Coturnix japonica: one gene and its partners. The protein of the gene in region 4 interacts with the protein of the main gene of each other region in a pairwise test. Links are inferred from orthologs where the notes say so. Each region holds a gene or a part of one and is shown on either strand. Other genes may lie near its edges. The genes, in order: KATNAL1, YWHAE, NECAB2 and KLC4.

Evidence for each region.
Region 1: the proteins of KLC4 (region 4) and KATNAL1 interact in binary tests that used the Homo sapiens proteins (3 or more experiments, as listed by UniProt). The two-hybrid records come from large-scale screens. The link is inferred for Coturnix japonica from reciprocal best matches to the Homo sapiens genes KLC4 and KATNAL1.
Region 2: the proteins of KLC4 (region 4) and YWHAE interact in binary tests that used the Homo sapiens proteins (3 or more experiments, as listed by UniProt). The link is inferred for Coturnix japonica from reciprocal best matches to the Homo sapiens genes KLC4 and YWHAE.
Region 3: the proteins of KLC4 (region 4) and NECAB2 interact in binary tests that used the Homo sapiens proteins (3 or more experiments, as listed by UniProt). The two-hybrid records come from large-scale screens. The link is inferred for Coturnix japonica from reciprocal best matches to the Homo sapiens genes KLC4 and NECAB2.

Annotation. Positions count from the first base shown.
Region 1 is NC_029516.1:156,738,771-156,746,918, reverse strand, and holds the start of KATNAL1 (katanin p60 ATPase-containing subunit A-like 1), read right to left. Parts: upstream 4,859-8,148; 5' UTR 4,726-4,858; exon of another isoform or gene 4,629-4,725; intron 4,538-4,628; exon of another isoform or gene 4,429-4,537; intron 1-4,428. UniProt on the Homo sapiens protein: Regulates microtubule dynamics in Sertoli cells, a process that is essential for spermiogenesis and male fertility. Severs microtubules in an ATP-dependent manner, promoting rapid reorganization of cellular microtubule arrays.
Region 2 is NC_029534.1:3,987,442-3,995,465, reverse strand, and holds the start of YWHAE (14-3-3 protein epsilon), read right to left. Parts: upstream 4,433-8,024; 5' UTR 4,296-4,432; coding exon 4,232-4,295; intron 1-4,231. UniProt on the Homo sapiens protein: Adapter protein implicated in the regulation of a large spectrum of both general and specialized signaling pathways. Binds to a large number of partners, usually by recognition of a phosphoserine or phosphothreonine motif.
Region 3 is NC_029526.1:163,028-170,473, reverse strand, and holds part of NECAB2 (N-terminal EF-hand calcium-binding protein 2), read right to left. Parts: intron 2,812-7,446; coding exon 2,675-2,811; intron 1,811-2,674; coding exon 1,692-1,810; intron 1,595-1,691; coding exon 1,515-1,594; intron 951-1,514; coding exon 894-950; intron 784-893; coding exon 671-783; intron 502-670; coding exon 424-501; intron 115-423; coding exon 23-114; intron 1-22. UniProt on the Homo sapiens protein: May act as a signaling scaffold protein that senses intracellular calcium.
Region 4 is NC_029518.1:3,526,100-3,533,545, forward strand, and holds part of KLC4 (kinesin light chain 4), read right to left. Parts: intron 7,413-7,446; coding exon 7,182-7,412; intron 6,827-7,181; coding exon 6,748-6,826; intron 6,662-6,747; coding exon 6,436-6,661; intron 6,140-6,435; coding exon 6,052-6,139; intron 5,655-6,051; coding exon 5,553-5,654; intron 5,233-5,552; coding exon 5,059-5,232; intron 4,911-5,058; coding exon 4,811-4,910; intron 4,326-4,810; coding exon 4,273-4,325; intron 2,522-4,272; coding exon 2,454-2,521; intron 2,373-2,453; coding exon 2,264-2,372; intron 1,595-2,263; coding exon 1,445-1,594; intron 1-1,444.

The DNA of each region.
Region 1 (8,148 bases), on a different chromosome or scaffold from region 4:
CCTAATTTACCAAGCATTTAGCTCTTGAAGCACCAAGCCTAAGGTTTGAGATCATAAATCACGACTCATTTATAGAGATTAAAAACAAACAAAGAAAGGGCTACACAACTTCTTCATTACCTTTGGTCTCAATCCCATTAAATTAATGCAAGAAAATTAAATGCCCTGCCTACCCTGAACTTCAAGGATCTAACCAGCCAAACTTTAATTTGTAGATCACCGCAATATATTAGCAGCCATCAACCTGTGAATCACAAATCAAACCCGGCATTAAATTGCTTTTTATGCTGTTGGATTACATACGTGCCTAAATGCTTCAACCAGCACTGTTAGAAGTCTGCACTTAGCAATTCTGAGAGCCCTCACCCTAATGAGATGGCAGCACTGCTGAACGACAGCTCCACTATAGACAAAGTTGAGAGCCTCTTTCTGTTTAAATATTCTTGTGAAGTACATCAGCATCCAGATGCTGACTTGCACTTTTGCATTAAATCTAACACGTCCTTTTGAGATTTACAGCAGAGTTAGCAATCCATACTTAAGACTTCTTAAAATGACACGAACGTACAACCTTCCCCTAGTCCCTCAAACAATTTAGGATTAATACTTTTACTAACTTTTTCATACATAAGCAACAAATCATGGCACAAGTTGAAGGCAAACCCATACACAGCTTCTCCCAGTAAACGTTTGAGAGAGCAATATTAAAGTATAGACTTGAAAGTATGTTAGTGGGCATGGTGAGGATAGGCTGATAGTTGGACTTGGTGATCTTAGTGGTCTTTTCCAACCTTAGTGATTCTATGTATCTTGGAGCACACAGAGAAATCACTGCATGTACACGTGCTCCTACAGCATCATATCAATAGGGAAATGCCTATTGATGTCTCCAGAGCTAGTCTGACTAGCAGAATCTCCTGCATTTGGGTATTTCAATTTTACTTATCACCTAATCAGGTAATACTGACATGAGAAGGTAACCGCAACATCATCCACTTACATGAGATGTGTTGGAAACAGCATCTGTTGACCTCAGTCCTAAGTAAGAGCGAGTTCCCCTTATGACCAGGCCCTACTGGGAGCCCTACTGGCCTACCAGGCTCTGAGGCCCTACTGCAAGGACTGACTAGTTCACAGAATCACAGAATTATCAAGGTTGGAAAAGACCTAGAAGATCATCTAGTCCAACCATTACCAATACTTCCCAGCTAAATCATACTCCTCAACACAACATCCAAACAGGAGTGTGTTCAAACTCCCATGGTTCAAACCTGGGGAAGGCCTTCTTCCCTCAATTGTTTACTCACACCAGTGAGAAGAGGCAGCTAGAACTAGGTGGAGGGTTTTTCCATATTCTGTACATGGTTTTTTATTATCTGTTCTGCATCAAATAATGGAGTTCATACATTGTACGCCATCAAAGAAGCCAGAAAGTGCATAAATAATTTTGTGTAATTTTAAAATATTTGTTTTTCTTGCTGTGCTACAACCGCATACCTTTAAGTAAATGCATAGCAAGGGACAACTGTTGTCAAGTACATTTAGGACAACTTACACATTCCTCATGACACCAACTTCCCATCCTAGCACTGTATGGTTCTCTCCTGCACCAGACCATAACAGCTCCACTGTACATCAAGGTACCCTCTGAGATTCCTCAGTTCACGGATCATTGACAAGAAGAGACATTACAGACGTTCCGTCAGTAGAGCTGCCACACACAGGGTCTTAAGCCCACTTGTTAAAACTCTGCAGCAGCACGGCTAAAAGGTCACAGGGGATATTAGTCTCCATTCTTCGGAGCATAAGCTGAGGTGATCCCTAGCTGGGGTCAGGGAAGAATTTTTCTCCCAGAACCAATGCAACGCACAATTGAGCAAGATCCAAAAGATGGGCTTTTTTTAAGTATTAAAACATGACACACTCAGAGATACACCAGTGAGGACGATGGGCAGGAAGGGGAGTGCAGCACTGCTCCTTCAGCACCCTGTCTCCAGCTGAGGTGTGCATGCAAGCCCATATCTGCATCCACATTCACTGGGTGCTGCCAGGAGCAATCAGTGTCCTCACTTCAGGCAGGGTCTGCAGCAGGATTTTTTCCTCTTGCTTGTTACTACACACTCAGATTTGCAAACGCCAACACAAAAAGCATCTTTGCAATCTTTCTGTTTCTCGTTCATGCCAATGTATTTTGAGACAATCGATTACACAACTGTGTCCCATTTTCTCCACAGGCATTTGACGCCTGCACTGAACGACATACATTAAATTGTGCATGTGTAATGTTCCTCGTTTCTTCTTTATTCTCACAGTTTCAGTAGTCACATCAAGCCTTGCTTACTGCCTGCTAGTCAGTCTTCTCTCCTAATCACTGTTATTTCCCCACAGATAGGGCTGTATTACACAAGTTCTGATTCTATGATTCTTATGTTTTAACCTCGACTTGCATCTTTTTCTGACCAGAAGCTGACCCGAGCAGTCCAAAAATTTTCCACAGCTCCCTGAGATTTCTGGACAGATGGTCTCACGTCATAGCAGCTGTGCAGTTGTGCTGACTGGGCAGCGGAACATCTGGCAAGGCCTGGGCATCCACAGACGAAGACTAGTTACTAATTCTGGTTCTCATTATCTGCAGAACAACCACACAGCGCTGATGTTGTGCAGACAGAAAACCAATGTGAGGGACCACTTTCAAACATCCTCTTCTCCCCCAGTTGTTTTCACCTGATAAAAACTAAAGATCCTACTTTCCATTTTTCCCTTCGAGGTCAAAACAGAGACATGCAACAACACGACAACAGTAGAAGCATGAACTGAAACGCTACCTGGAATGTTGTCAGGGAGGAAAGAAAACAGCCCCACAAATGTGGATGGGCACTAACAACCATTACCTCACTGCATAACTACTACTGCTAAAATATATACAAGTATGAACTGTGTATATATACTTATATCATACTTATTCATATGTATGCATATGTATCAATAAGTATGAACTGTGGCTCAGTTTCAGTACTTTGGTTATCTGCCTTCTGTTAAGTGGCGTTGGGCTTCTTTGCACTGAACCCCCCTTTTGAAACATTAGATGTGGAGATAATGGGAAAACGTGAATGGAACTGGTAAGATGAGACACGCATAAAGGCCTCAAACAACTGGTGTGGATTCTTCTAAGAGCTAACTTAAAATGCAAGTGGAAAGAAAAAACATCTTCAAACGAAGTGAAGATATTCACCTCAGGTTAATAGGAATCACTGAAATCAGAGCAGTGAATACAAATGCTATTGGGCACTCGAGGGAGCATAATTTCATGCACGTGTGCTTTAGGTTGTAGTATTAGCATCTTTGCTGTCTGCTGGACTCAAGTTGGCTTCAGCATCTCTTCTCTACAACATGGTCTCCTGCACTTCTAGCATTAGTGCCACACAGCAGGTTTAAGCACCCACGTGGTACCAGCCTAGAGGTGGTGGATCCCCTCCTTCAGCAGGATGCAGGGCTCAGATGCTTCAAGGCCTCTGCAGGGCTTGCAGAACACAGCCCAGATCAGTAACTCTTCCATCTCTCTCCACATCACACGCATAAACTCTTCTGGCGGAGCAAGCACGTCACCAAAGACTCCCAAGATGGGTCTGTGCAGAACCAGCTTGGGTTCAAAGTGTTCATCAGGTCAGGCTCTGAGTCAGTAAAGTTAAACTGCTCCTGCACCTGGCCCTGAATACCGCACATTCATGCTCCCACACCACTGCAACTCACAAGCGCTGTCAGAACAAAGCCAGCTACACAGAGATTCAGTTCTGCTGTTGCTACATTCCTAGCGAAGCTGATCTGCAAGCCAGATAAACTTTCCATGAATAATTGCAGGCTTAATGGACTCACACGTGTTTATAACCCTGACTCATAGGGTCTGAATTTAAGCTGGATGCTTTCCTTTCTTTCAAATTCCCCTTTGAAATTCAAAGAATTTGCTCTTTAGGACTTTATAATAAGGGTCTGCTGCAATAGGACAAGGGAAAACAGTTTCAATCTATGAGAGGAGAAATTTATACTGGACATAAGGAAAACGTTTTCTATAGTAAAAGAAGTGAAGTACTGGCACAGGTTGCCCAGAGAGGTGGTGGATGCTCCAACCCTGGAGACACTCAAGGTCAGACTGGATGAGGCTCTGAAACCTGATGGAGCTGTATGTGTCCCTGCTCACTGCAGGGGGGTTGGATGGGGCTTTGAAACCTGATGGAGCTGTATGTGTCCCCGCTCACTGCAGGGGGGTTGGATGAGGTGCCGTTTAAAGGCCCCTTCCAACTCAAACACCTCTACGATAACTCAAACCTTCAGCTGTATTAATGATCGAACAGGATCAGCCCCCCGCCTCCCCCACAGCCTCCTCCAGCCCCATGGGTCACGCTCCCTCCCGCTGTCGGCTCCGCTCTTCACCTCCCCTGGCTCGGCCTCCATCCCCTCACACTGATGGAGCTGGGCCTGCAGAGCTCTCCCGTGCGAGGGCCGATCCCCCCGCAGTCCCCCAGGGGAGCGCTGGGTGTTGTAGTCTCCACCCGCCGCTCCTCCGCTCAGCGCCAGCGGGCGGTGGGTACCGCGGGACTACACTTCCCGTCGTGCCATGCGGCAGGCCGCCCCCACCCCCGGCCCACGGCCGCCCCCAGCGCAGCGGCACGGGCAGCGCCGCCGGGCCGGATGTTGTTGGGCCGCAGCGCCCCGCGGCCCCGCCATTACCTGGGAGGAGCGGGGTGCGTGTCCCGGTGCCGGCGGAGCGGGGAAGGGGCCGCGGTTCTTCCGCTCTCGAGCGGAGCGAGGGAGGGGGGTGCGGGGATCGGGACGGGGGTCGAGCGATGGGTGAAGGGGGGCGGGGGGGGGGGGGGGGTGCGGGGATCGGGACGGGGGTCGAGCGATGGGTGAAGGGGGGCGGGGGGGAGGAGAGAGGGGCGCGCGCGCGTGGCGGCGACGAGCGGTTGCCATGGCGGCGGGGGGGGGCGGGGATGAAGCTGAGCCCGCCCACGGGCGCGGCCTCCCCTCAGGGCCGGCGGTTCGCTGCCTCCTGTAAGGGGCGGCCCGGGGCTGGGGTGAGCTCGGCAGTGCTACAGGCGATAGGCGGCCGGGATGTGCCGCTAACAGCCCGCGGGCTCGCAGCGAGAAGGGGCGCGGCTTTCCGGCCGGCTGGAAACAAAGGAGAAGCCCTGTGCGCCTGCGGGGGGTGGCGGGTGTGTCCTGTGTGTGTGCCTGCAGGGATCGCGCTTAGATCGGAATGAGGAGCTCGGCTGCTTCCATGGCAGCTGGGGGAGCGGTTTGGAGAAGGGAAATGCACCGCTGTCCTGGGCAGGCACACGGGATGTGGCCTTTGCTATGGGGTTGTGTCACTTCTATGTACGAGATCTAGGGATTTTCCTGTTCCTTGGGCTAAAGCAGCGCCTGATGGCAGCGGATGGCCTTACAGGGCATCATCTGCTGAGGTACGCACCTCTCTGAGGATGTAGTTCCAGAAGGGCAGTCCTGTGCCCGTATTGCCACCAGAAGGGCAGTCCTGTGTCTGTATTGCCACCAGAAGGGCAGTCCTGTGTCTGTATTGCCACAGAAGGGCAGTCTCGCTTGCCCGTTTGCCACCAGAAGGGCATGTCCTGTGCCCGTATTGCCACCAGAAGGCAGTCCTGTGCTCGTATTGCCACCAGAAGGGCAGTCCTGTGCCCGTATTGCCACCAGAAGGGCAGTCCTGTGCCGTATTGCCACCAGACAGGGCAGTCCCTGTGTCCATAGTGCCACCAGAAGGGCAGTCCTGTGTCTGTATTGCCACCAGAAGGGCAGTCCTGTGCCCGTATTGCCACCAGAAGGGCAGTCCTGTGCCCATAGTGCCACCAGAAGGGCAGTCCTGTGCCCAAGCACCAAGGCGTACGATAGTGCCACCAGAAGGGCAGTCCTGTGCCCGTATTGCCACCAGAAGGGCAGTCCTGCCTTCTCCTCTGATCCTGCGTGGGTTTTCCTATTTATTTACAAAGCAATAACCCTGGTGTTGCCATCTGGCATGACACGCCTGCGGTCTGATCCAGCTGACAGCCAGTTATGCCCCTGTAGAAAATAGCTGGCTTTCAGCTGGGCCTGTTCCTGAACGAGGTGATCCAGCAGAGCTGCAGCAAGCACCAGGATAGAGGTGGAGGCAGGAGCCCACTGAGACCACACTGCACTGCTGCAGTCACTCCCTGCTGCCACAGCTCCTGTGTGACAGTGCTGAGAGCATCCTGCTAATAACAGCCTGGTGATGGCTCCCAATGGCAATGTGATCTGTCTGGAAAATGTAAATTGCGATCTTAAGGTAGCAGTGTGAGGTTGTATGTTGCTCTAAGGTTTTCAGAAATGCTATCTGATGCAAGTGGAAGAGCAGGGATTGAAGCTGGATGCTCAGAGCACCACTTAAACAATGCAGCATGTGTTGATGTGTCACTCATAGATGTACATATCCTCCCTGAAAATCGTGTGGAGATTCATAGGCCTTTCTGAGTGTTTTAGAACTGGAGCCAAAACTGTGATGAATTCATAACAGCTGCAGCTCTGGCTTTCCCTTTCCCCAGATTTCTTCAAACTTTCCTGTCCATTACATCAATCCCTGCTGTTCTTTCACATACCCAAAGGCATAGATGCTGTGCGGACTTTGGAGACCCTAAATGCTTCCCTGGGAAAGCAGACATTACACAGCCCTATGCCACCATAATCCATTCTCAGAAGACTTATTGTACCTCGTATCACATTAGACAGCACATTAAACTGCTTTGTCTGAGGCTCATCTGGGAAACTGTGACAGAGGGAAGTTGGTTAGTTAGTCATAACATCTGTATTGTGTGTGTTTTTCCTTCAGTGTTTTCAGTAGTTGAGGCAAGTTGTTCTGCTTCCTAGTGGTGTAGGGTATCCTTGCTCCCTCTTGTCTCCCTTATAGGAGTAGTTGCTGAGCACAGTAGCAATTCCTTGCCACTCTTGTTGGACCTCTCAAAGGGAAGGTCTGTTTTGGGAAGTGTCTGCACAAATCCTAGCCCTGGACATTAAATGTACGTAAGGATTATAGGACAATTCAGGCTGAAAGGAGCTTGGAAGGGCATCTTGTCCAGCCTCTTTCTCACAGTAGAGTTTGTCTGCATGGTCTTTGATATAAGAAATGGCAAAAAGAAGAAGGGCTGACAGCCATTGGGAATTCATAAATTTGCTAATAACGTAAAAGAATGGTAGCCACGAGTGTGATATTTCATTGCTTTTATTGCTGCTGTGATCAGAAAACTCCAGCTTTTCTGGCTGGGGTGATCTAAGAAATATTGCTTCCCTGACCGTCTGTTCTGCCTCTTGACTGAAGATTCTTGCCTCCACAACAGTTGCTGGAATGGAAAGCACTAATGTTTCTAATACATTTTAATATCAAATACGGCATTAAACTGATCTTTATCCACAGTTTGAGCTAATTTTTTGGACATTGTATTAAAACAGCTGGGACTCACGCATGTATTTAATTTCACCAACTGCTGTCTGACAACGCCTGCTGATCTCAGGCAAGGAGAGTGAAGCGAGTTTTTGTGTGAGGGTGACACTACACTGAAATTTCTTCTATAGTTGGTGTATTCTCAGGTCTTACATCTTCTTACTGTCTTGATAAAGGCAGCTTGGGATGAGAGATGATGCTGGCGGTTGTCACTGGCTGTGGTTAGACAGGCTCCAGCTGTAGTGGTGGAGAAGGGCATTACTCACAGCTGAACCCCAGAGACTTATCATGCCCCTTTGCAGTGATCTGCAAATCTGCCAGCTGAGCTGATTGCATGCCCTCTCTCTCTGATTTATTCTAGTCAGTTCAGTCAGAAGCAGGTAGAAATTAATGGAGCTCTTTTGCTGTGAATGTTTGATTTGGTTCAGAAGTGTCTCTTAAGGTAGAATAATTGCAGGTGCTGTCAGGTAAGTTTAAAGCTATTCACAGTTAGGGTCTGTATCAGATTAACAAAACTGGTTTCTAAGTTGATTTGGTTGTTGTTACATAAATTCCATAGACTGTGTCTAACTTAGGTCGCTGGTAGAGGCTCTTAGCACAGAGTATCAGGGAACTTCATTGGTAATCTTCTCCCACACGCTACAGGAAAAGACTGAGAGTGTGGAGTGAGATACCTATGAATTGTG
Region 2 (8,024 bases), on a different chromosome or scaffold from region 4:
GCCCTCTGATCCATGTGATACCAGCAGGCACCATCCTATTCACTGCAATGATCAGCCCCGAATCCAAGCCAAAAGAAACCAAGGTCTTAAATGTTGGTGCACCCCAGACAGTTCTAATGTTTGATTGTATGACTGAACTACACAGTTCTACAGAGCATAATCCCATATTAATGCTCTTGAAGAAATAGATGATCGAGACCAAATAATTCAACTAACAGTTGCATTTTCTGCACAATCAACCTACCAACACGATTTCTAAGTCATTTCTATATCTTCAAGTTAGGAAGATGTATCTTCCTAAAAGACAGAGGACTCCTACTAACAGAAGAGTCAGATTGAAAGCAGAGGCAAACAAGGACTGAGTCTCATCATACATTTCAGTTTGACTGAGATCTGCTACTTAAGAGTCTCCTAATACAAGAACTTGAGTAAGTTAATGGACACTAACCCAGTACGTGGGCTTCCTGCAGGGCACTGAGCCATCTAAGGTTGGATGCTCAACACTTCTGGTATCTCAGACGTTTCAAGAGGCAAATTATCAAAGGTCCTCACACAGCTCTGCTGGGCAGAGGGGAATTACACCCCTCAGATGCATTTATATTATTTACTTGAAAGAGGACCACTGCAAACTGAAAATTATGAGCAACTTAATCATTCATCTATCTCATAAGTGAGAATTTGATTCTTCAGCAAGCTGTAATTGCAAGTCCTGCTACTGTGAGCCAACTCATTCTACAATATGTTCAGATTTTGGATTCAGTGCACACCTTGTTGCCTTCAGAGGGAAGGTTTGCTTCTCTGGCAATGAGTTAATAGCAACACAGGAGTTACATGTTGACTTGCTGTACTGGGAATCAGGAGAGCTGTCAATTATCTTCTTCCCAGCTGTAAACAGAGCTATTATCCTCACCTGCTACACCCTGGGTAAACTTCAAATGATGTATTTCAAGATCTGTGGCACAAATCTGTTGGCAGGACTGAAGCACCCACAGGATTCACTCGGAGCTTACCTTCTATCCTAGCATGCTTCTCTACTGATGAGAAGAAAGGTGCTACCTAGCTTCTGCAACAGAGAGTTAGTTTTGACATTCAGCAGTCCATGAGAACGCAGATACATACAATCTTTTGATGTGAGAAAGTAAAGAGTTAGTGATTTCATAAACCAACGCAATTTTATCAACTCCAGTTGTTTCCCAGAAAAGACATTTTATATATATTACGCAATTGGGAACCATCTTTGAAGGAACTCAAAGGGTTTTCACTCAGGGTGGTGACGCACTGGAACAGGTTGCCCGAGGAGGCTGTGGATGCCCCATCCCTGCAGGCATTCAAGGCCAGGCTGGATGTGGCTCTGGGCAGTGGCGACCCTGTACATAGCAGGGGGGGTTGAAACCAGATGATCATTGTGGTCCTTTTCAACCCAGGCCATTCTGTGGTTCTATCAAGTGCAGGTAAATGTGATTTTTTTTTTCCTCAAGTACGATTTGTCACAAAGCTTTCTCTAATACAAGTAGGCTGCCCGGCATTTTGTGATCTGTCATGACACGCCTGGGTAGATCCGTAAAGACAGACACCCAAATCTCTTACTATCTCTAGGGATCACAGCTTTAAGCATTATTTACACTGCAGAGGCACCTAAGAAAGTTGTCCTCTTAATCTGGGCCGATACACCAAGGGCTGTACAGAGACAGAACTACATTCCCAACAACTGGCAGGCACAGCCTGCAAGGCTTCAGAACTTAAGTGGGTCATGTAACTAAAAAAAACCCAAAAAACTTATTAGATTCCTACCTTAGAAGCTGCCTCAAATGCCATGGACCATGGCTGTTCTAACCACACAGCACGCTGAGCCTCACTGAGAAAGATGTGGCAGAACGTAACGCTATCCTAACATTAAACATCAAAAATTGTCATTTTACATTCATATTCAAGTCACAGAACAGGTTTCTATTCCAGCACATTTGTAGCCAGTACTTACCATCAGTAGTATCTGGAAGTTATTCACTATTACCTCACCATCATGTATCTCAAAGGTAAAACTAAAGAATGAAACTAAGCATCACTTCACTTCCCCACAGCATTTCATTCACATTGAGCAGCCTCAGCACTTACTTTCATGTAAATGAGAATATACTCTTCACTTTTTAATTGCTTCCAACTGAACGATACAGAATTAGATGCTAAACCTGTACCTACAGTATTTATTTTTCCAGGCCAGGGACAGAAAAAAAGGCGGAAAGCTATAGAACAACATGGAGAGTTAAGGGATGCACCTTAAATTTGTTGATTCAACTCCATGCCAACAAATTCTGCAAGTCTGAATCCCACAATATTGCTTTAAAGATAAGAACACTATGATTATCATTACCTCCTCAGTGAGGGTGTTCTTATTAACACTCAGAAGCCACACAGAAGCCCTCTGAATTCTGACCTAGGCAATTCATTCTTCAAACACCCACTGGAGCATTGGGATTGGAAGCCCACTGACTGCCTTTGTGTGGCATTTCTATCTCTATCAACCTTTTTTGATAAGGAAATCAGGCTGTGCTGCAGATTTCTACAATAAGGGAAGGTCTGATTGCTTTCCAAAGAAGTGACTTCCCATTCAGCTAGGAAAGCATCAGTTATACCTCAAAAGGATGATGTATCCCCCAAACATCCTTAGCCTGGAGTTCCATTCAAACCACAGCTCACCCCTGCGCTGAGGCTCATCTGTACCAGGTGAACAAACCCTCCCCCACACACACCCCAATACTGCTGGATTTGTGGTCTTTGTGGAAGATGGCAGCAATGAGAACAATGCACCTTCCCATCCCACACTCCTAAGGAGACAAAAAAACCAAGATACCCCAAATCTACACCCCCCTCCTCAACCACTTGTACCCACAGATGTTGCTCTCCTACTATGAGCTGCATCTTACTTGAAGGGGTGGGCACAAGTCACCCCACAAAACCTGCTTTGGGGGACGTTTTTTCCCCCAAGTCCCTGCAGTTACAACAAGGAGACTATCTGGCTGCTGTCACTCAGTACGATTCTTATTCCTACCCCATTTCTACCAGAACATTCACTGCAGATGGTCTTAATTACTCCTTCATTTCTGTTTTCCTCCCCCAAAAGGTGTATTTCTCAGCTTTGGAATCCCATTATCAGAAGTTTTCTAAGCAGTAACTCAGAGAACAAAGCCTAATTCTCACCAGCTGACTTCCCTGCTCTGTGAAAACCCTGATCAATTAAAGGACCCAAAGCATCTCCCCACTTCTAAATGAAACCTAACTGTACTCCCACCCTTTACACACACACCGGCTTTTCTTCCACTTGAAATACAGATCTAAGGGCAGAAATAACAACCCCATTGAGAAAATTAAAGGCCCTTTCTTCTATAGGCAAGAAAAGCACCTTGAAGGGAACAGTCACACGGCAGACATTTTGGGGGCAAGAAATACCATCCAGGGCTGCCAGCTCCTCCCCACCGCCCCTTTTTTTTCCCCAAGATATAAAGGGATCAGAGCTCTAATTTCATAAGGCAAATGAGGGAAGGGGGGGGGGAGGAAAAAAGAGACAAAGTGGGAACGTAAAATGGTCTGTAATGATTTCCAGCGTGTAATGAAAGCATGTGTTCTTCCTTCAGGTAATGACGGGCAGTGCCAGACGGCTGCAGGGTGAATGAGAGCCGTGCCTCCAATGGAAAGCGAAGGGAGAGAAAGAGAAGCGCCATCCCGCTCCCTCGGGTCCCTCCGGCATCGCCCCCCCCGAGGGGCCGGCACGAACCTTCCGGAGAGCGGGGCGTTGTCTGCGGCGAACCGAGCTCAGCCCCACAGCGCCGAGCTCCGCGGGGCCGCGGCCGGAGGGAAACGCAGCACTAAGGAGCCGCCCGGCACCGCCACAGCCGCCCGCACGGCGCTAAGCAGTGGGGTCTCTTTGTCGGACCCCCGAGGCGGGGGCGGCTCCCCCCTTCCCCCCCCCAGGACTCGCCCTTCGCGGCCGCCATTTTCTTCCCGGCTTCTGCCGCCACCGCCCCCCGTAGCGGGCCACGCCCAGGCCGAGGCCGCCCGCTCATTCAGGGCCCCCCATCCCCGGTTCCGCGGCCCTCGGGGCGCTCCCCGGCGCCATTTTGTCGGCGCCCCCCTCCTCCGCCCCTGCCCCCCCCACCCCCGCCCAGCCGCCATTTTGTGGCCGCTCCCTCCCTCTCTCTCCCCTTGGCCTCTCACGGCCTTCCCGGCCGCCGCTCACCATCGTAACGTTCAGCCTGTTCGGCCAACTTAGCCTGATAGACGAGATCCTCCCGATCGTCCATGTCCTGCAGGCGGAGCGGCGTCGGGGAGCGTACGGGGCGGATGGAAGCCGATGGGTCTGTGGGGCTCAGCAGCTACCAGCTCGCTGCTCTCCGGGCAAATATGGCGGCAGCACCTCCTCCCGCTGCATCCGGGCACTTCCACAACCGCGCGCATGCGCCCTACGGCATCCCATAGCAACGGCGGCTCCTTAGTAACGGGCGGGATGTGGCCGGGCCGGGGTTGGGACCGGCCGCCATTTTGCTGTTGAGCGGCGGCCGTGAGGATGCGGATCCGCCGCGATGTGGAGGCCGAGGGCCGCGGTGCGGAGCCGGTTGGGGTTGGGGGTGCTGGTAGGGAGCCCTGCTAGTGTGTTAAAGAGCCGGGTGGGGGTGCGGGGAGGATCGGAGTGGCCGGGTTTTCCCTCAGTCTGGCTGCGCTTTTCTCCTTCCTCTCAGATCTGGTGTATTCAAAGTACAGCGGCCTTTCCCTGTTGTATTCGTCCCGGGTATAGGAATGCCTGTAGAAAGGCAGGCTGTGTGATGGGGGAGCGCTGTGGCTGCCATCACTGACTGATCACTGAGGGGATGGAACTGGAACGTGAGAGGAATGTGGCATCAATTCCTCACAGAGGCCTGAAATCCACCGAGCAGGCATTGAAAGCGTTATGATAACACCCCCCCGTTTCCCAAATCAAAGAAAAAGCAAAAGAAAAGTGATTCTGTTTGGCTAAGATAAACGTGAGGTTTGTTCAGGGTGGGTATGAGCTCGTATCCGCTATGAACAGGCTCGTATCTCTTTTTCCAGTGTCTCCTTGGATGGGCTGAAGGCTCTTGGCCTTCCTGAGGTGTGAGAGCCCACAGAGGCCATTGCAGCTTCTGATACGCAGCAGAGACAGAGCATCCCCGGCACCTCTTGGACAGAGCTGAGTATCCATTTGTGTTCTATGTTGTGCCCACTGATCAGAGGCACAGGTTTAACCATCGGTTTATTGTCACCTGATTCATTTCATTGCATTATTTCAAGTTAACGAAGACTTAAGGTTGTGTAAAACTGACAATTGGATGGTTTGCTTATGGATGTACCTAAAATATTACTATGATTTTTATAGAATTATATAGAATCCCAGCGGATTACGGTCAGTGTATTTGTGTAACACTGCGCAACTTACAATCACCTCCGCCCTTCATAAATCTTAACTAAAAAAGCCTATTTTCTCAGCAGCTAAGACTTAGTTTTGTGTGGGACTGTACATGATCAATTCGATTTGCCTCAACGTAGGGACTTTACTTGATCCTCAATTTCCTGATGCAATCCTTGCCTTGTCCTTTGCACACACAACATTTACACACATTGATTGGGCTGCTACTGCAACAGAAAGTCACCACTGCAAGAAGAAGCAATAGAACTCTGCATAAATCCTTCATGACAAAGCCATGGAGACTTGCAAATACCAATAGTGAGGTAGGTGAGCAAGGAGTAAAGCTGAGGGCAGTGCTTCTCCCTGTGGAAATTTATTATATGAGGCTGATGGGCTTATTGTGTGGACAGGAAAACTGGCATCTCAGTATAGTTAAGTGCAAAGTCCCACTCGAGGACTCCACTAAACAGTACTGATGAGGAAAGTTATGTGTAGTAACCTGCCAACTGAATACCAAGTAACTAAAATACTGAATGCTTTAATTGTAATGTAGTGAAACAAATGCCATTGTTGAACATACCAGCAAGAAAGGATTACTGACATCAAGACTCCTCCCTGCCTACTCCCAGAACCAACATACAGTGTAGTAAAGCGTTATTAAAATATATATAGTATATATTTAAAATATATATATACTATAAAGTATAAAATATGGCCTATTCTATGCAGTGAGGGCCTTGTGAGCTAAAGAGCACCCCCAGAAGGCCAAATGTTTAGGAGTATTTTCATTTAAGTCATCTCAAGAACCCCCAAACTATTTTCTAATGCATCCCTACAGTTAGAATTGAGACTAATAACTAACAAGTCTCATTTTTACTTTCTTCCTGAGTCCTCCTCCTGCAATGAGAATAGTTCTCCCTCTCCCCCTGGACTTAAGGAACTCAGTTAGTTACAGCCATTCACCTTTCACACCATCAACCTTTTCTGGTTGATAACTCCTTTTAGTCATCTCATCTTCCTTCTGCAGGTGTTGGGTTTAATTGTTTTAACATAAACGTGCTCAGTTAAAGAATGGGACTTAACAACACTTCTGTTAATGTATTCTTAAACACAAGTATTACAATAACAGCCGATTGAGAATGACACCAAGCCAAAGTTTTGGCTATACTTTTATTTACTTCACATACTATGAACATATACATTACATGCTACAAAAAATAATTAAAAAAAAAAAAAAAAAGACTTTTAACTGTCAAGAAAGTGGATAGTGTTATAATACAATGGCACATGTTCATATTCTTCTTCAAACTGGTTTGGTTAGAATCCTTCCCCAAAACCATTAACAAAACCAAAGTGTTTTATTCTTAAGATGATTAGAAATATTTGCATTATTAACAAATACAATTCAAACAAGATTAACAAGATTTAAACCAGGTCAAATATTAGTAAAAAGGCTGGGGTTTACCAAAATGAAATCTATATTAAAAAAACATAGCAGCCAGTTGTACTTTTAGTGTGATATAATGTGTAAATGCACCAGAAGAACACAGTGTAACTGAGCATCCTGCTTTCAAGGTGTGTTTCTAGAAATGATTATTCTAGTTCTAACACCTGCCTATGCACAACAGAGCAAAACCACAGTCAGAGACAAAGGATTGTGACCAACGTTCTTCGCAATGATTCTTTGCACGCATTGGGAAGAAGGGAGGGAACAAACAGAAGAGGATAAACAAAGGCCACAGAGGGTTTAATCTACATGATCATGAACGTATGTTCTACCTATTTGCCTTTAAAAGAGCTCGGTAAGTTGAAATGTCTATTTTGCAGAAATGCAAACATTAATTTCTATCATCTACGGGAAAAAAAACACACATTTCAGCTTAGAACCAAATAGTAGAAAACAGTTGCGTGGATGTATTGGTTGACTAAGAAAAACTGCTTGACAAGAACTTAGGATTCTACTGCAACAGCAGCTATTAAGACTCCTCTGGTTCCATTTTTTGCTCTTTCAAAGCGTACAAATATTTGCAATTTATACAGTCTTCACAAAAACACATCTACCAACTTTGCAGGGTATTTGCTAGTTAACAACTCCATTGATGTCTTTCATATTAAAAAGGCGAGGTTTGCATCATAAAATTCAAGAAGGAAAAAGTTATTTTGCTATCTTAAAATACCTGCTGATTGGAAAGGTATAAATGTATGGGCTTTAATTAATTGCAACTGGAAAAATAAATGCTTTGGAACAAACTGTGTCACTCTAAGAACAGTTTGTTGTGCCGCTTCTCTAAAACCTGAAGTCTTAGCATATATGGGCAACTGATCAGCTCAGTGTTAAGCCTGCATTAGAATGTAGTTAGTGAAAAATCAGTGGCAACAAAAAGTAAAGACCAGAGGAAAAATACAGCTTAGCCTTAAATAGATCAATTTGTTCCTGACCCTTGAGTTTGGTTCTGAACTTATCTCCTCAATGGAGGCTGAGTACAGAGCTAGAAGTGATCTCACCATCAGAGCAGGGGATCACCCTGACCAGGAGAACCATCCAAGCTAGAATAGCACTGCTATTCCTTCCTTACTGTTACTCCGTCACTGTTATAACAACAGTCATTTT
Region 3 (7,446 bases), on a different chromosome or scaffold from region 4:
GTGCCCCTACCCCGGGTCCTACCTGGCACAGCCACGCTGGAGATGGCCTCGGGCTGGCTCAGAGCGTCCACCTTTACATGCTGGAAGTCCTTGCAGGTGGCACTCTGCAGGTGCCTGCGGTGTATTACAGCCCAGAATCACCATCCTGACCCCCCAGATCATCCCACACAGCTTCCTCTGAGGGAAATAAGCAAGACCTCTGCTCCCTGGGCCCTCTCCCATGCCCCCCATCCCTTGTCCACCCAACCCCACTTGTCTATCCAACGTGCCCAAACCCTGCAGACACATCCCTGGGAACCCCACTCCTGCCACCAGAAAGTGGGCAGCAGACTCCCCACTTGCCCCAGGCAGCAGCTCAGCCAAGCCCTGCTCCCATCCCTACAAGCTTCCCCAGCTGGCAGCTACCCACCCATCCCCCTCTACCTCTTCCAGTCATCCTCGGTCTCCCAGAACTCATAGACGATGAAGGTGACTCCGTCAGGCAGCTTGACCGCAGTGACGCTGGCAGTGGTGGGGTGAGGGTGAGCTGTTGGGGGCGTCCCCAGTCCCCACAGCCCCCACCATGGGGGCACCCCAGGCTGTTGTCCTTGCAGCCACTGAGGGTGCCCCCAGTTCCCAGCACTCCATCCTCCTGCTGACCCCATCTCCAGGTGCCCCCCCCAGTACCCACTGGAAGCACTCCCGCATCCCGGCTACGCTCTTTAGGTACTGCTTCAGGGAGCTGCAGAACTCGCCCAGGTGCTTGTGTGACACCGTCATCTCATCCCGCACCAGCAGGAGGTACTGGGGGGGAGACAGAGCAGGATGTGTGACCCAGTGTGTGCAGTATCCCCCCCAGGGACACCCTGTGGGGACACCATGGGGTGGTGATGGCAGCACAGCCACATGCTCACCATGCAGGCTGTGCTCTCACTGTCTGACAGCCGCTGGTGCAGGTCAAACCAGAGAGTCTGCAAAGGGAAAAGGAAGGATGGGGCACTGTGTCCCTCTGGGTGTCCACTGTGAGGGGACAGCCACTGAGAGAGCCCTGGTGCAGTAGGAGCATTGCAGTAGTTTGGGGGCAACAGTGCCCCATCAGGAGGTAGTGGAATGGAGTCACCCCCTGCCCCAGATGCACTGGAAGCCTGGAGGAGCCTGGCCTGTATCCATGGGAAGCACCAGGTGTGAGTTAGTATCTGGGGACACGTGGCACAATGGGGACCTTGGTGAGGTATAGGGACCTGGCACACGGCTTCACATCACCCCACCTGCCTTAGAATGGCCCCAAACTGCCAACAATGCTTCTTCCAAGGAAAATCACTGTCCCACACCCTTCTGCCCTGAAAACATTTGGGTTTCAGAAACACCTCCAGTACCTCAGCATTCCCTCTGCCTGTCCCTGGATGGAACGAGGTCACCCCTGTGAGAGGCTTCAACTCCTTCATCCATAGGAACATGCAGTTTAAGCAAAGCCCATGGCACTCTCACCAATGGTGGAGATGGCTGGAGCGATGGCAGCCATGCACAGTCCCTACCTTGTCCTCCAGCCTGCTGATGAGTGCAGCCAACCTCCCGATCTGCCCCTCCAGCCCGTCCTGCCTGGGCTCAGGGGCACCTGCAGGAACACAGAGCAAACAGTGCCTGTGGGCATCCACCCACCCAGCAGCTGGGAGCAGCGGGCTGCTGGAGCAGCAGAAGCCATGTCCACTCACCACTCTGGCTGCTCTTCCCGTGGCCCTGAGGCACAATCCGGGCAGGGGGTGCGTAGCTGGGCACAGGGCTGTTGTACCACGGCTCTGTCAGAGCAAGACCAGCTGGGCCAGGGCACTGCCTGCAAGGGATCAGGGAGATGTGCTGGGCACTGCTGGGCAGATATCTCACAGCCCTCTGGTTCCCCGCTTTTTAGGCCACCTCTGATGCAAGAGATCAGGGTGGTGGGTTTTTTTTGTTTTTTTTTTGTTTTTTTGGTGTTTTTTTTTTTCCTTAGCGATTTTCACCATGAAAACAGCTCACAGCTCCAATGGCTTCATGATGAGCCAGGTCCACACACCAGCAAACAACAGACAGTGAGGACTTCCAGCAGCTCTCACTGATTCTTACTTCCTCCTCAGCACTCCCAAACCAGGCTGTGCTGTTCCCACCTGCCCTACACCACAGCTTGCTCAGCCTTCCACAATGGGGAAATGAAGCCAACAGACACCCGGGGCACTCCTCCCAGTACAGTCCGGGGACTCCATGGCACCCACGGCCCTCTCAGTTTGCATATGGCAGAGCCACTTGGTCAGCATCCCAAACTACCCTCAAATGGGGCTATTTGGGGAGTGCTGCAGGTACTCCTTGCTATTTCAGCTCTGGCTAAGATGAATCTTGAAGCAATCTCCTCCACCTCCCCTAGGCTCGATCTCCTGAGGATGGGGGACAGGGATGGGGATGAAACAGTGATGTGACAGGGGAAAGAGTGGGAATGGGATGGAGACATCATGGACTGTCCCAGCACATCCCAGACACAGACACTAAATCCCAAGGGGGGCTCTGCTCAGAGGAAAGCCCTGAGAGCTCCTGGGGAAGCTGGCAAAGGCAGCTGCTCCACCAGTTCCTCTTTGTCCATCATCCCCAGGAGCCCTGTAAAAGCGCATCATAATGAGACCAGCTGTGAAGCAGGGATGGAGTGGGGAGGGAAGGAGAAATGGCCGACCTGGAGGGGTTGGTCTGCTCATCAATGGCATCCACGGCGCTCTCCACCGAGCTCAGCAGCGACTGGGTCTGGTTGGCCGTCTCCTTCAGCAGGAAGCGGGTGACAAACTGGTCCACGTTGCTGCCACTCTCATACACCTGCCAGGCAGGGACAGCACAGTGATACTGCTCAGCTGGGTCTGGTGATAATCACTGATAAATTAACACAAGTCAGGTAAACAAAACTACCCTCACTTCAGCCCTGCTCCAAACAGAGCTCCATCTCACCTTGTTCAGCCCCAAACAGGCTTTCAAAGAGATTTATCCCCACTGGTTTGAACTGAGCAAATTACACCTTTTATCTATATCTATCTATCTATCTATCTATCTATCTATCTATCTATCTATCTATCTATCTATCTATCTATCTATCCATCCATCCATCTATCTATCTTCTGTGTGATAGAGACTGCTGTGAAAAGGAGCAGGTGTTCCCAAAGAGGGCTTCAATGGGGTGAAATAAATGGTTTTCAGTGGGATGCCCCAGTCTGCAAGGACGTTGTGTGGGAACAATTGCTGAGCATTCGGGTGGGGAAAAGGATAGATGTATTCCCAAATATTCCTGAATTTCTGAATTTCTCCCAGTATTCACACTCGTGCTAAGGAGGGTTATTAAACTGACAAATCTCCTTGGCAAAAAACATATAATTGCATTTGGGATCTGAATCCATTTCTTCAGCAATTCCCCCTCACTGCTGATTCCTCCCTAGGGCCTTGCACATGGGAGCCTGTGCAAAACCAAGGCATAAATACGTTAATCAGGCACTTGAGCAGGCTTGGCTATAATTACAGATGAGTTTTGATTAAGCCTGAGCAACCAGCCCTGCTCTGATTGCAGGTGCTGGGGCATCACTGGAGCAATGATGAGCCCCTCTGCAGTTTTCCCCAGCTGAAAACAAAGGCTGAGCTGTGCACAGTCTCTGTTATGAGTCTGGAAACAAATTGATAAAACAAACCAGGAGCCGTGCTGCAATTTGCCCCAATTTCCTGCTGCCCACCAGGACTCCATTGCCTGCATCCTACCAGCACCACCGCACAATTTCTCATCAAGTCAGGCACGTGAACCTGCTCCTTTTGGGAAACAAAAGGTTTTAAGAAGGTGTGGACTATACATGCATTTGGTGTTAGTGTTCTTTGCCCTGGGACACCGGATGACCTCATGAAGAAGTAGAAAAGTAATGCTCAGTTCTTAATGAGCCACAAATCTCACTGTGGTGTTTCCACAGGTGAACTGTAGCAGTGTTCATCCTGAGAAGCTTGTCTCTGCCCTCTCCTGTAGGCACTGGTTTGATATGGTGGTCAATGAAAACCCACAGCCCTGTGATGTTGCTGTCTCCACAGGAAGAACTGGAAGCACTGTCTGTGTGGGTACCAGTAAGCCATTGGGTTAGAAATGGAGGAGCTTAAAAAGCAGCTGCTTGCTGCTGATGTGAACAGCTGATTGCAGAGCTGTTAAAATCCCAGTGTGTTAGAAGTGATTTCAGGATGATTTTCTTGAACTGTGCTTTTCAAAACCTGAGCAGCTATAGAGCTCTGGGTACTATAGAGCTCTGGGTACAGGGAATGGGCCAAGTGGCTCAAAAGGCAGAGCTGACATCCCAGGGAGCGCTCGCTCATGGCCACAAGGGTGAATCCAAGTTGTTTCCCAAAGCCATCCTTCTTTCCTCCCAAAAACCACTAATGCCTCTGTGCTTTTGAGGCCACCACAGGAGTCCCATGTGGGTCAATAGCTCTGAAATGAAAATCAATGATTTTTTCTCTTTTCTTCTCATTTAATGAATAACTGTGGACATCTGCCATCCCAACTGTGACATCTGCACTCAGCAATGTGCTCTGAGCTCCCTGGCAATCCCTCCAGCTCTGCTGGAGCAAATGTCCCCTTTGGCACTGCAAAAATAAGTCATTAAGACAGCCAACTCCAGAGGAATCCTTCCCGTGGTCTTATTAAAACATTTGTGAGCCTGTTCTAGGGAGATGTAATGAGGTTTGGTCTTATTAATTCTACCCAAAGAGATATTTCCTTCTTCTTTTGCCTGGGAAGTTAAAATATTTATGGGGATAATAAAATAATTGCCGCTTTGTGACATGAGACCCTGGAGGGGTGTATCTCAGAAGGCTTCTCTTTTTCATCCAACTGGTTCATTAGTTCAACGCTAGAAAGGCTTTGGCACCAGAGATGCTGCCCTGCTGCACAGTATTGTGCTAACAAGCCTGGTCTGATGGCGCTAATTAGCAGCAGATCCATGTTTGTATCAGAGGAATGAAATGCAGAGGCAGAAGTCCGACAGGAGATGCTGAACCCCACATTATGCTGTGCTGGGTTTCAGTCTCTCCTGAGACTTATCACATTTTCTCTGCAGCTTGAAATCCTGGCACAGATAAAATAAAGCACTGTGCCACCCTCTGCCTGTGGAAACCCAGGATGTAATTTTGGTGTTTTGAGCTCTTGGACCTGCTGACACTGGAGACAAACTTCCCTCGCTGGGTGTTGCAAACTGGTCCCCAGAATAGGGCTTCTGTAACTGTTTTCCTGTGGGTATCAAATGGCTGAAAAAGGAGATTGTCGATGTTGTTGAGCATCTTAAAGCCTCTCTGCTGACATTTCTAAAGGTCACCATTCATCTTGTTAAGACTCCAGGATGTGAAAATGACACAATAAATGACGCTCATGGGCACCGAGAGCCCCACTGCATCTCTTTGCCTTGTAGAGCCTCAGCACTGAGCCCCAGCATTCCCAGCACTGCCTTTGGGTGACAACGGCCAAACTGGGTGCCATTTGCTGAGCTCAGGGACCTGGCACCTTCTCCAGTTGTTAAGAACACTGACCCCAGATGAAGCACATCAATAGAGCCAAGGCTCTGAACTGATGAGGCTGCTCGAGCAAAACCAAAGCCAATTATGTTCCTTCAATTGTTTCTTAAAAAAAAACCCAAAAACACTAAAAAAATCCAAAGCAACAGGAAAACCTATTGGCATGGCCATGAAGCTCCTCTACTGAGCCTCCCCCTGGATTACATCAGGTTTATCTCCCACCACCCAACACTTCACAAATCAGCCATGTAGAGCAATGCTGCCTCAGAACAGCGATTCTAATTCCTCACTCCTAATTGCCTGCTTTCTACCAAGAGATTTTTTTCTTGTAATTAGAATAACACCCAGACCTTCCTCTTGCTCCTTCCCTGCTCTATGCTCTTAACTCCCACCAGAAGCAGAGGCCAAGAACTGATTGCCTGGCACATAATCAGTAGTAGAAATCTGAGGAGAACAGACACTGAAATATTTGATAAATGAGAACATTATCATATGAAAGACTCTCAGCCTACCTGAAATGGGGGGTGGGGGGGGCGGAGGAAACAAATTAGACAACTGTTCAGATTAAAAAAAAAAAACAATGGCACTGCATGCATTTAAAAACATAACGATAATAAATTCCTCCCTTATAAATCCCATCACACTGTTCTGTTGAAAACCTCTTTCAGACTGCACAGGTTCCCCTCTTCAGCTGTGTTTTGAGGCCAGGGCTGGGGGCAGGGGGCTGTTCCCAGGGTAAGGCAGGACCTGATGAGGGCAGCTCAGTGTCACTCCTCTTGACCCAAGTCCTGTCACCTCCTGCAGTGCCCTTCCTGAGCAGTTCACTGCAGAACGTCTTTCTCCTTGTTAAGAGAGGTGCTTCCCATATATAGCATACACATCCTGATCCACAGGATGCCATAGAACGGCTTTTTTACACCTTGTCCATGCAGTTGCCCTCTGACTACACATCTTACCTCTCTGACCTCACAATCAATAGCCTTCAGGTGGGAGAGAATGGGAATCACAGAACCACAGAATGGCTTCATTTTGAAGGTGATCTTAAAGATCTTCTACTTCAAACCCTGTGAGCTGGGTGCCCCCCCAGCGCAGTCTGTCCAGGGCTCTATCCAGCCTGGCCCTTAGCGCTCTCCAGGGAGAGCCCCTGGCAGCTGTGCCATGGCCTTACTGCCCTCTGAGCAAAGAATTTTTTACTAAAACCTAATCTAAATTTCCCCTATTTTAATTTAAAGTCATTTCCCCTTGTCCTGTCACTATGCACCCAAGTAAAATGTGGGTTTTCTTCCTGCTTATAAGCTCCCTTCAAGTACTGGAAGATCACAATGAGGTCTGCCCAGGGACTTATCTTGAAAAGCCCATCTCTCTCAACTTTTCTTCATAGGAGAGAGGCTCCAGACCTCTGACCATTTCCACATCCTCCTCCACTCCAACAGCTCTGTCCCTCATGTACTGGAGGTCCCAGACCTGGACACAGAACTCCAGCTGCCACACCTCTGTTGATGCAGCCCTGGATGCTGTTGGCCTTCTGGGCTCTAAATGCATGCTGCTGCCTCATATCTAGCTTTTCATTGACCAGGATGCCCACATTCTTCTCAGCAGGGTTCTTCTCCCACTCTGTACTCATATCTGGGATTGCCCTGACCCAAGTGCAACACCTTGTTGAACTCATCAGGTTCTCATGAGCTGGTACAGTTCCTTCTGAATGGCATCTCTTCCTTCTATGGTGTTGAGTTGGTGACACTCAGACTGGTGTCATCTCCAAATGTTCTGAGGGAAGACCCTACCCTACAGGGAGTCTACAAGGGCACGGTCAGCAGGATCTGCAAAGATGCTCTTCTCTCTTGCAGGGGGAAGGGGAGCATGAATTTTGCAGTGACAGAGACAGAGGAGCAGCGAATAAACATGTTAGTTTAAAAATAGCTC
Region 4 (7,446 bases):
AGGGGCTATCCCCATCAGCTGAGTCAGGCTGCAGGAGAGGGTGACTTTACCTGCTTGCCTTAGGCTGATAGCTCAGAGGCCAGCTAATGCCAACCATAGCCAGGAGATGCTGCAGAGAGTCACCAACCAAGTCAGGGACTGGGTGATCCTAATGCAGTAATGCAGCACTCCTCCCTCCACACCTCTCTACCCCCTCTACTGACAGGGAATGCGAGGGCCAGGACTGAGATCCTCTTCACCCTTGAAGATGAACTGCTGAGGCAGAGGACAGCCTTGTATCTGGAAGAGCTGCTGGGCCCCTTCAAAGCTCAGTTCCCCAGGCCCACTCCAGCCACATCCAGGGTACAATCCACAATCAAGAGAGCCAGGCTTTAGGTTTGGATGTTGAGGGACTGTCATGGCAACAGGGAAGAGGAAGAAAGAAGGGGAACAGATCATGCAGGTGAGGATGGCCACGTGGGGAAGGGTTAGTGACAGCAGATGTAAGGGGGAGTAGAGGATTCATGCTCAGTGCATCATTTATGCCAGGCTGCAAACAGCCCTTGGTGCCAGCTACACTATACTCTCAGCCAGAGACTGCAGGAGGAATGGTAAGCATCAACAGCTCCAGCAGCCCTCAAGCCAAGCATCCACCAGCACCTTGCTCACTTGTTGCCTCTTTTCCATCCTCCTCCTTGCAGAAACCACCTGCCCCAGACCTAGACCACTACCTTCCTGCAAACTCAGTACTGGTGACCACAGTGCCCTCCAGTCTCAGGGCAAGCACAGTAGGCTCAGGGTCACCTTGTACAAGCCTCAGCTAACAGCATCCTCTTTTGCCACCGCCGATCAGCCCAGCTAGGCACCCCAAGAAAACCTGCCTTTTCCAACCTCTACTTGGCCAGAGCCCACAGAGGGGCACGAGACCATAAGAGGACAGTAAAGGTGTCAGCTATGGACTATTTCCTTATACTGCAGACACAGGCACAGCCCCACCAAACACACACACACATACACACACACACCTCCCCAGACCCAGCATCACCTGTGGCGCGCTGCAGGACAGAAAGGCAAGTTGCTTAGAGGCTATGGGGGCCTAAGATGGGGCTGACAGTCAGCCACAGCCTTAAGAGGAGAGGCAGCAAGGAGAGGTGTTAATAAGGTCGCCAAGGCTAAGATTAAGAGCAGGCCAGGACAGCTCATGCTGTGCACTGCCAGGAACTGGAAGCCCTCTGGAAGTGAGAACTTTTCAGAGTGTCTGGCCTGTACATGACAAGCCAGGCCCAGACACACACCTTTGTGGGCTGACTGGCTCATGCCAAGAAAGAGGAGAAGGAAGTGTGCAGGGAACAAATGGAGGCAGACAAGGATGCCACGACAGGCCACGCAGGGACAGCCCTGAGCCAGGCTGTCCCATCCCTCCAGCAGCCAGCTGAGGCCATTCTTGATGGTGTCTTGTACTTACCCCACTCCATTCCACGCCCATACTCACTTCCTCGCTACCGTCTGTGGCATTCTCGTACTTGACGCTGCCACCCAGGCTCCGACGTCTCTCTGTGCCATCACCCTCCTTCAGGATCTCCACCACCTTCGTCTGGTTGATTGGGTCGATGCCCTGCAAGTAGAAAGGAATAAGGAAGCACCAGTCTTGGCTCTTCAATGCTATTATCTGCCTGGTCCTTCTCCCTCTCTTGGTCATTGTCCCAGCACAGACAAAACTCTTCCAAACAAGAAGAGCATCCTGAATTCAGTAGCCTTTATTCAGGGAATGCCTTACAAGCTATAAGCCACCCTGAGTGACAAGAGCTTGCTGCCCCAAAACGCTGACAGCTTCCCCTCCTCTCCCCCCTTTCACATTTTGATGTGTGAGGGTTTTTGCTGTCCTTCACTCTTCATGCTGGGTATATACACAAGGGATTTCCTAGTGAAGGAGCTGAAATTCCTGGACACATTAGTAGGAAGAATGCACCCCACCAAGCGCAGACTCCTCTCAGCTGACAAAGCTCAGTAGCCTGCCATAGCTGTAGGATTTCTACACCCCAACAGGTGTTCCATCTACATATGCACACACCAGTGCAATCCCACATATGCAAACACATGCATATCCCCCTGCACAAACGGAAGACCAACCACTGAGCTGCTCCGGTGTTATGGGAATGCAAACCACAGACGGGAGGCTGCAAGGCACAGCACAATCCCTCAGCACACATAGTAATGTCACAACCTGCTACCCTGAGTCCCACAGCATCCCCCCACCCACCAGTGAAGGTCCCTCTGGGGTTACCTGCCGCCGAGAGCGAACCGCACACTCCTCCAAGGTCTCCGCGGCCTCAAGCTTGCCCTGGCGCCGGTACAGCGCACCCAGGTTCCTCAGAGTGGTGTTCACAGTTGGGCTGTGGCAACAAGCAGCAGGTGAGTGGGAGCCCTGGGGACACCTCACCCACTGCCTAGAGCTGCCCACAAACCTCTCTTACCTGCTAACCTTGCAGGCCTTGTACCAGCCACCATACTCAGCATAGGGAGCACTGTCTCTGTGCTTGCTCTATTGGGTGAAAAGGCAGCTGTTAGCCCCATGCCTAGTGCCATTCCCTGGCCTGTGCTCACACTGGGCACCAGGGTCAGGCCTAAGGCTGTACCCTCACACCAGCCCAGCCCCTGGAAACACAAAACGTGAATACCACAGTGAAGTCCCAGCAGGTTCCTGGAAAGAAAGGCTGAAGCCCTTTTTGCTGCAAATCATTTGAGACACAAGACAACATGATGCCCTCCCCCCAGTAGAGTGCACATTCCCATCTCCTTGGCCTTTCTGTGGTACCAAACGTAGCAAGGACAACGAAGACAAAAAGCAGTGGTTGAAGTACGTGGCACTCCCAATGCCAGTATGCAAAGGGATACCAAAACCCACAAATCCCATAGCTTCTGCACCATGAAACTGGTCCTGCCTGTGCCAGCAGCTCCACAGCTGTGCATTCCCTCTGGCAATCGCCCCAGCCTGGAAGAAACTGCCCTTGCAGGGACCATTTTCCTTACAAAGCCCAACAGAACTTCCTGAATCATTATCCCATATGCAGGTACTTTCCCAAGCCATAGGCACACTTGGCTTTCTTTGCATCAGAGCCTGGGTGAGCCCAGCACTCAGCACTCAAAACCAAGGTGACCAAACCCAAGGGGAAGGTTGTTGAATGTCTGTCAGTGGAGAAAGAACCTAGACTCAAGGGCTGTGGTCACCAACACCTCAGCAGATGTATTATGCCACAGGGCCTGGGCAGCTGCCTAGAGACAGCCATCTCAGGGGCAGGAAATGCAGCTCAGCTCTTGCCCAGGCTGCAAAATTAATTACATTTCCAGCTGCAGATCCTATAGGCCTGGGAGAAAAGGGGACACAAACAGTAGAGTTTCAAGGGGCCTGGTCTGGACAGCAGATTTAGACCATTTCCTGAAGGCATTCTGTTCTCTCACCCCTGCTGCAAAGCCTGTGTTAAGTGGAGCATAGCTCCACACTGCAACAGTCTGCCCATGCTCTTGCACTTCTCTGAAGTCATCATCAGAAAGAAGCATCTCAATCCCAGAGTAAGAAGGGGAGCCTGGGCCCTACTCCACCCAATTTCTCTTGCAAAGCAGTGCCACAGCCAGCATATTTTTCTGTCCTCCTGGCAAAAATCAGACTGAACTCCACTGCATTTGTCAGATGCAGCAGAAAGCAGAGCTCAGGAAACAGGAGCAACAGCTTCCATGTCTCTCAGCCAAATCCAAGGCAAGAACAACTCCATTCCACTCTCATTCAGAAGCCAGCTAAGACACTGAACAGCTAGAAACCTGTCTGGAGCTCTTTTCCATAAGGTTTGGTCCTACTTGCTAAGCAAGGTGACAACAGTATCTCTTCTCTACCCATTTCTTCCCCAGGCAGCCTCAAGACACACTCTGGGTACTGGCAGCTCTTTGGAACAAGCACCAAAACCCTGCAGCATAACTCCGCCATCCACCACCCTTCCATTGTCCGCTTGCCTTAAAGGTTTCACTAAAGCAAAGAGAGGCTGAGGTACTGAATAACTCCCCACTTCAAGGAAAATATCAGGTCCTCTGATGGGCCTCCATTCCTCATTGCCCCAAGGAATGATCTCACTTCTCCCATTCCATACACCATTCCTACCCTTTATCAGTGGTCACAGCAGCTCTTCAGACTGCAGAAAGGAGAAACTAGTTGTGATACAAGGGGATCAAAATCCCAGAATCTCTTTCCCCTTCTGGGGCTCTTGCTACTGTCAACAGGCTGCACCCCGAGCTCTCACTCACCTTGCTCATCTCCTCTCTCTCCTCTGCATGCATCCAGATTGGTTTGTGTTCATCTGCGTGAGGAAAAATGAGAGACAGTTCTACTCACCACTTTAACTTTGTTACTCTGCCACTTCCACTACTGATCTGCTGTCTGTACAGCCCAGCACCATCTCCAAAACCAGCAGCTCATCACAGGGCTTCCAGTCACTGGCTAGGGCCCCAAAGGCAACTGACATTGCAAGGGCAGAGCATAGGAAAGAGGGAGTGAGTTCTTCCCCTCCCTGTGCCAGAACTACAGGAGAAACTTCAATTCACACCTTAGAGGCACTATGCTCTTCTCCCCCTTTAAGCCACAACTGCTTGCCAACCTAGCAGACTGAAAGCCACAGCTCACTAAGACTCCTTCTGAGAGAAGTGGAGCAGCGTAACAAACTGGAATGACAGTGTTTTGAGGCCTGCCCAAAAACAAGGGCTCTGCAAGGTACCCCATCCCTCTACCACAGGGGTGGTGGAAGAGCAAACCGTTCACTCTTGCCCCAGTAGCTTGTGTACAAACCATCCACAGAGCCAAACTCCTTCACATGAGCACGGGTAAGGATATCCTTGTACAGCACCTCTGCATCTTTGTATTTGCCTTGCTTCAAGTAACAGGAGGCCTGCAACCAAGAAAACAGCTCCAATCCCACTGGGCAACACAGATTAACCCTCCCCACTTCTCACAGCTACCTCCCTGTTTCCTCCAGACACCAGTGCCTACTACTGCACTACTGCCCAACCCCACATAGCCTCTTCCCAGCAGCTCACCAGGTTGTTCTTGGTCTTGGCTACATTGGGATCATCAGGACCCAGGCAGCTCTCATAGATCTCCAGGGCCCTGCAATAATAATACTCCACCTCCTCGTATTTGCCTTGGTTCTGGCACAGTAGGGCCAGATTGTTCAGTTGCTTGGCCACATCAGGATGGTCTTTGCCTAGGACCTGGATACAAAGAAATCACAAAATAACAATATTTAAATTGCAGTGAACATCTGGGGGACGTTCAAGCAGCCCCAGCCCAACCCAGAGGGCATGCTTTTGTCAGCCAGGAGCTAAGGACTACAAAGGTTAAGCGGAGAAATTCTAGCTCCCACCTCCCATCAGGCCTTTCTAAACACCACAAACACTGGAGAGATAAAGGTGGTGGCACAATCAGCAGCTGAAGAGACTAGGGGGGGTCCTAGATCTTTGAGGTACAGTAAGGTAGGGAGATCAAGCCATAAGGTTGAGCTGGAAGGAAGGAGAGCATGAGAGAGCAGTACCTTCTCACGGATCTCCAGGGCTCGCTTACAAAGTGGCTCTGCTTCTTTGTACTTTCCTCTCTTGCCATAGAGAACAGCCAGATTGTTCAAAGTTGCAGCCACCTGCATAGGCATAAACTTCTCTGTGAATTCAGTGTAACCAACCCAGGGAGCAAGCAGCAGTAACAGTCCCATTCTTTCACCCTTGCAAGTACAGATGCTTCTAGAGACAAAGAGGTCTAGAGGCAGAAAGTTATCTTGCCCACATAACAGAATCCAGGAGATGCCATCTCCTGATTGGCCATACTGATCAAGACAGCAGAAAATGATATAGCAACACAGTGCCCCATAATACCACATAAACAGCACCCCAGCCATCACAGGGCACACTGCTATCTGTGGCAGCCCAGCACCAGCCAAGCCAGTCTACAGCCAAGTCACAAGGGAAAGGGGCACTGCACTCTTGACCTGTACATGCCACTGGGGCTAGAAGTGACTAAAAGAGAAGGCAGATACTCACTGCTGGGTGATCTTTACCCAGGGTCTTCTCACGGATGGAGAGGGCATCATTCAAGAGGTGCGCTGCCTCCTTGTATTTATTCTGATCCCTGCAGTGCAAAGCCAATTTGTTACCTGGGGTTTGGACACCACAGTCTGTGGAATGCAGAACTATAAGCAGCACTCCTCCCTCCACAAAGATCAGCCTCCAGCAGCTCTTTCCCCCTTCCTCAGGTTAGTTTTACTGGGGAGTTTGGTGGCCCAAATACTTAATCTGTGCCAAAACCTTTTTTGAAAGGCAGACTGCTGGAAGCTGGGAGAATTCCTTGTCACCAGAATGTATTAACCTCATCAACTGAAGAGGAAGACAGCCTTTCTGACCCAGTCCTGCCCTCCCCATCCTCACCTGTACACTAGTGCCAGGATGTTGAGCATGGTGGCCACATCAGGGTGATCGTGGCCTGATGTCTTTTCCAGGTCCTCCAGTGCCTGCTTGCAGAGTGGCACAGCCACCTCGTAGCGTCCTTGTGAAGCATATTGGATGACAAGGTTGTGGAGGGTGCGCAAGCGTGCAGGAATCTCATAGCCTCCTTGCTGGGCAGCTGCTACCGCACTGCTATGTTGGTGGGGCACTGCAGGTACAGAATACACCAGGGCACATTTGGCACAGCAGGTTTGAACAGATACAGGCAGTAACTAAGCATGAGCAAGCACTCACATCCAGGACCATGTTCCTCCTCCTCATTTGGAAACAGATCATCCAGGGAGTCCTTGGTGGAGTCACCTTCCTTCTCCTCCTGAGAGAATAGGAATCACAATGCTGTTCATTCTCAGAAAAGACAACAGCAGCTTGGACTGACTCAGCTGCTACCAATACCCTCAGCTCCTTGGTCATCCCTGCTACCACCCTCCTCCCACCAAACAAAACCAAGTTTACCCCCACCATATCTTGGCACCCTCTTCCATGTTTTGCCAAAGACTCTGCCCTGGGCAGACTTCCTTCAGTTACAAGCACTGCTGTGCACTGTAGCTGGGAATGGTTAACATCCAGAACAAGGCTGTTGCATTCAGGCAATCCTCCTGGTCCAACACCCCCCACAAAAAGAAAAGAAAAAAAAAAAAAAGCTGCTGCTTGACAAGACAATGACTTACCGAAGGAGAAACATCCTCATCATATTTCTTCAGCTGGTTCATGAACTCAAGGTGTTTCTTCTCCTCCTCCAGCTGAGCCACAGTTTGTTCACTGCGCTGAAGCTTCTGCTGGGTGTTGGCAAGCTCGTCACGCAGCCACTGGTTCTCCTGGCACAGTCGGCGAACCTGAGCACGCAGTTTTTGCTTCTCTGATTCCACTGCATTCAGATGGTTGGACAGTGCCATCATCACCTTGTCAAGAGTCCCAGTCATAATCAGTATTGAC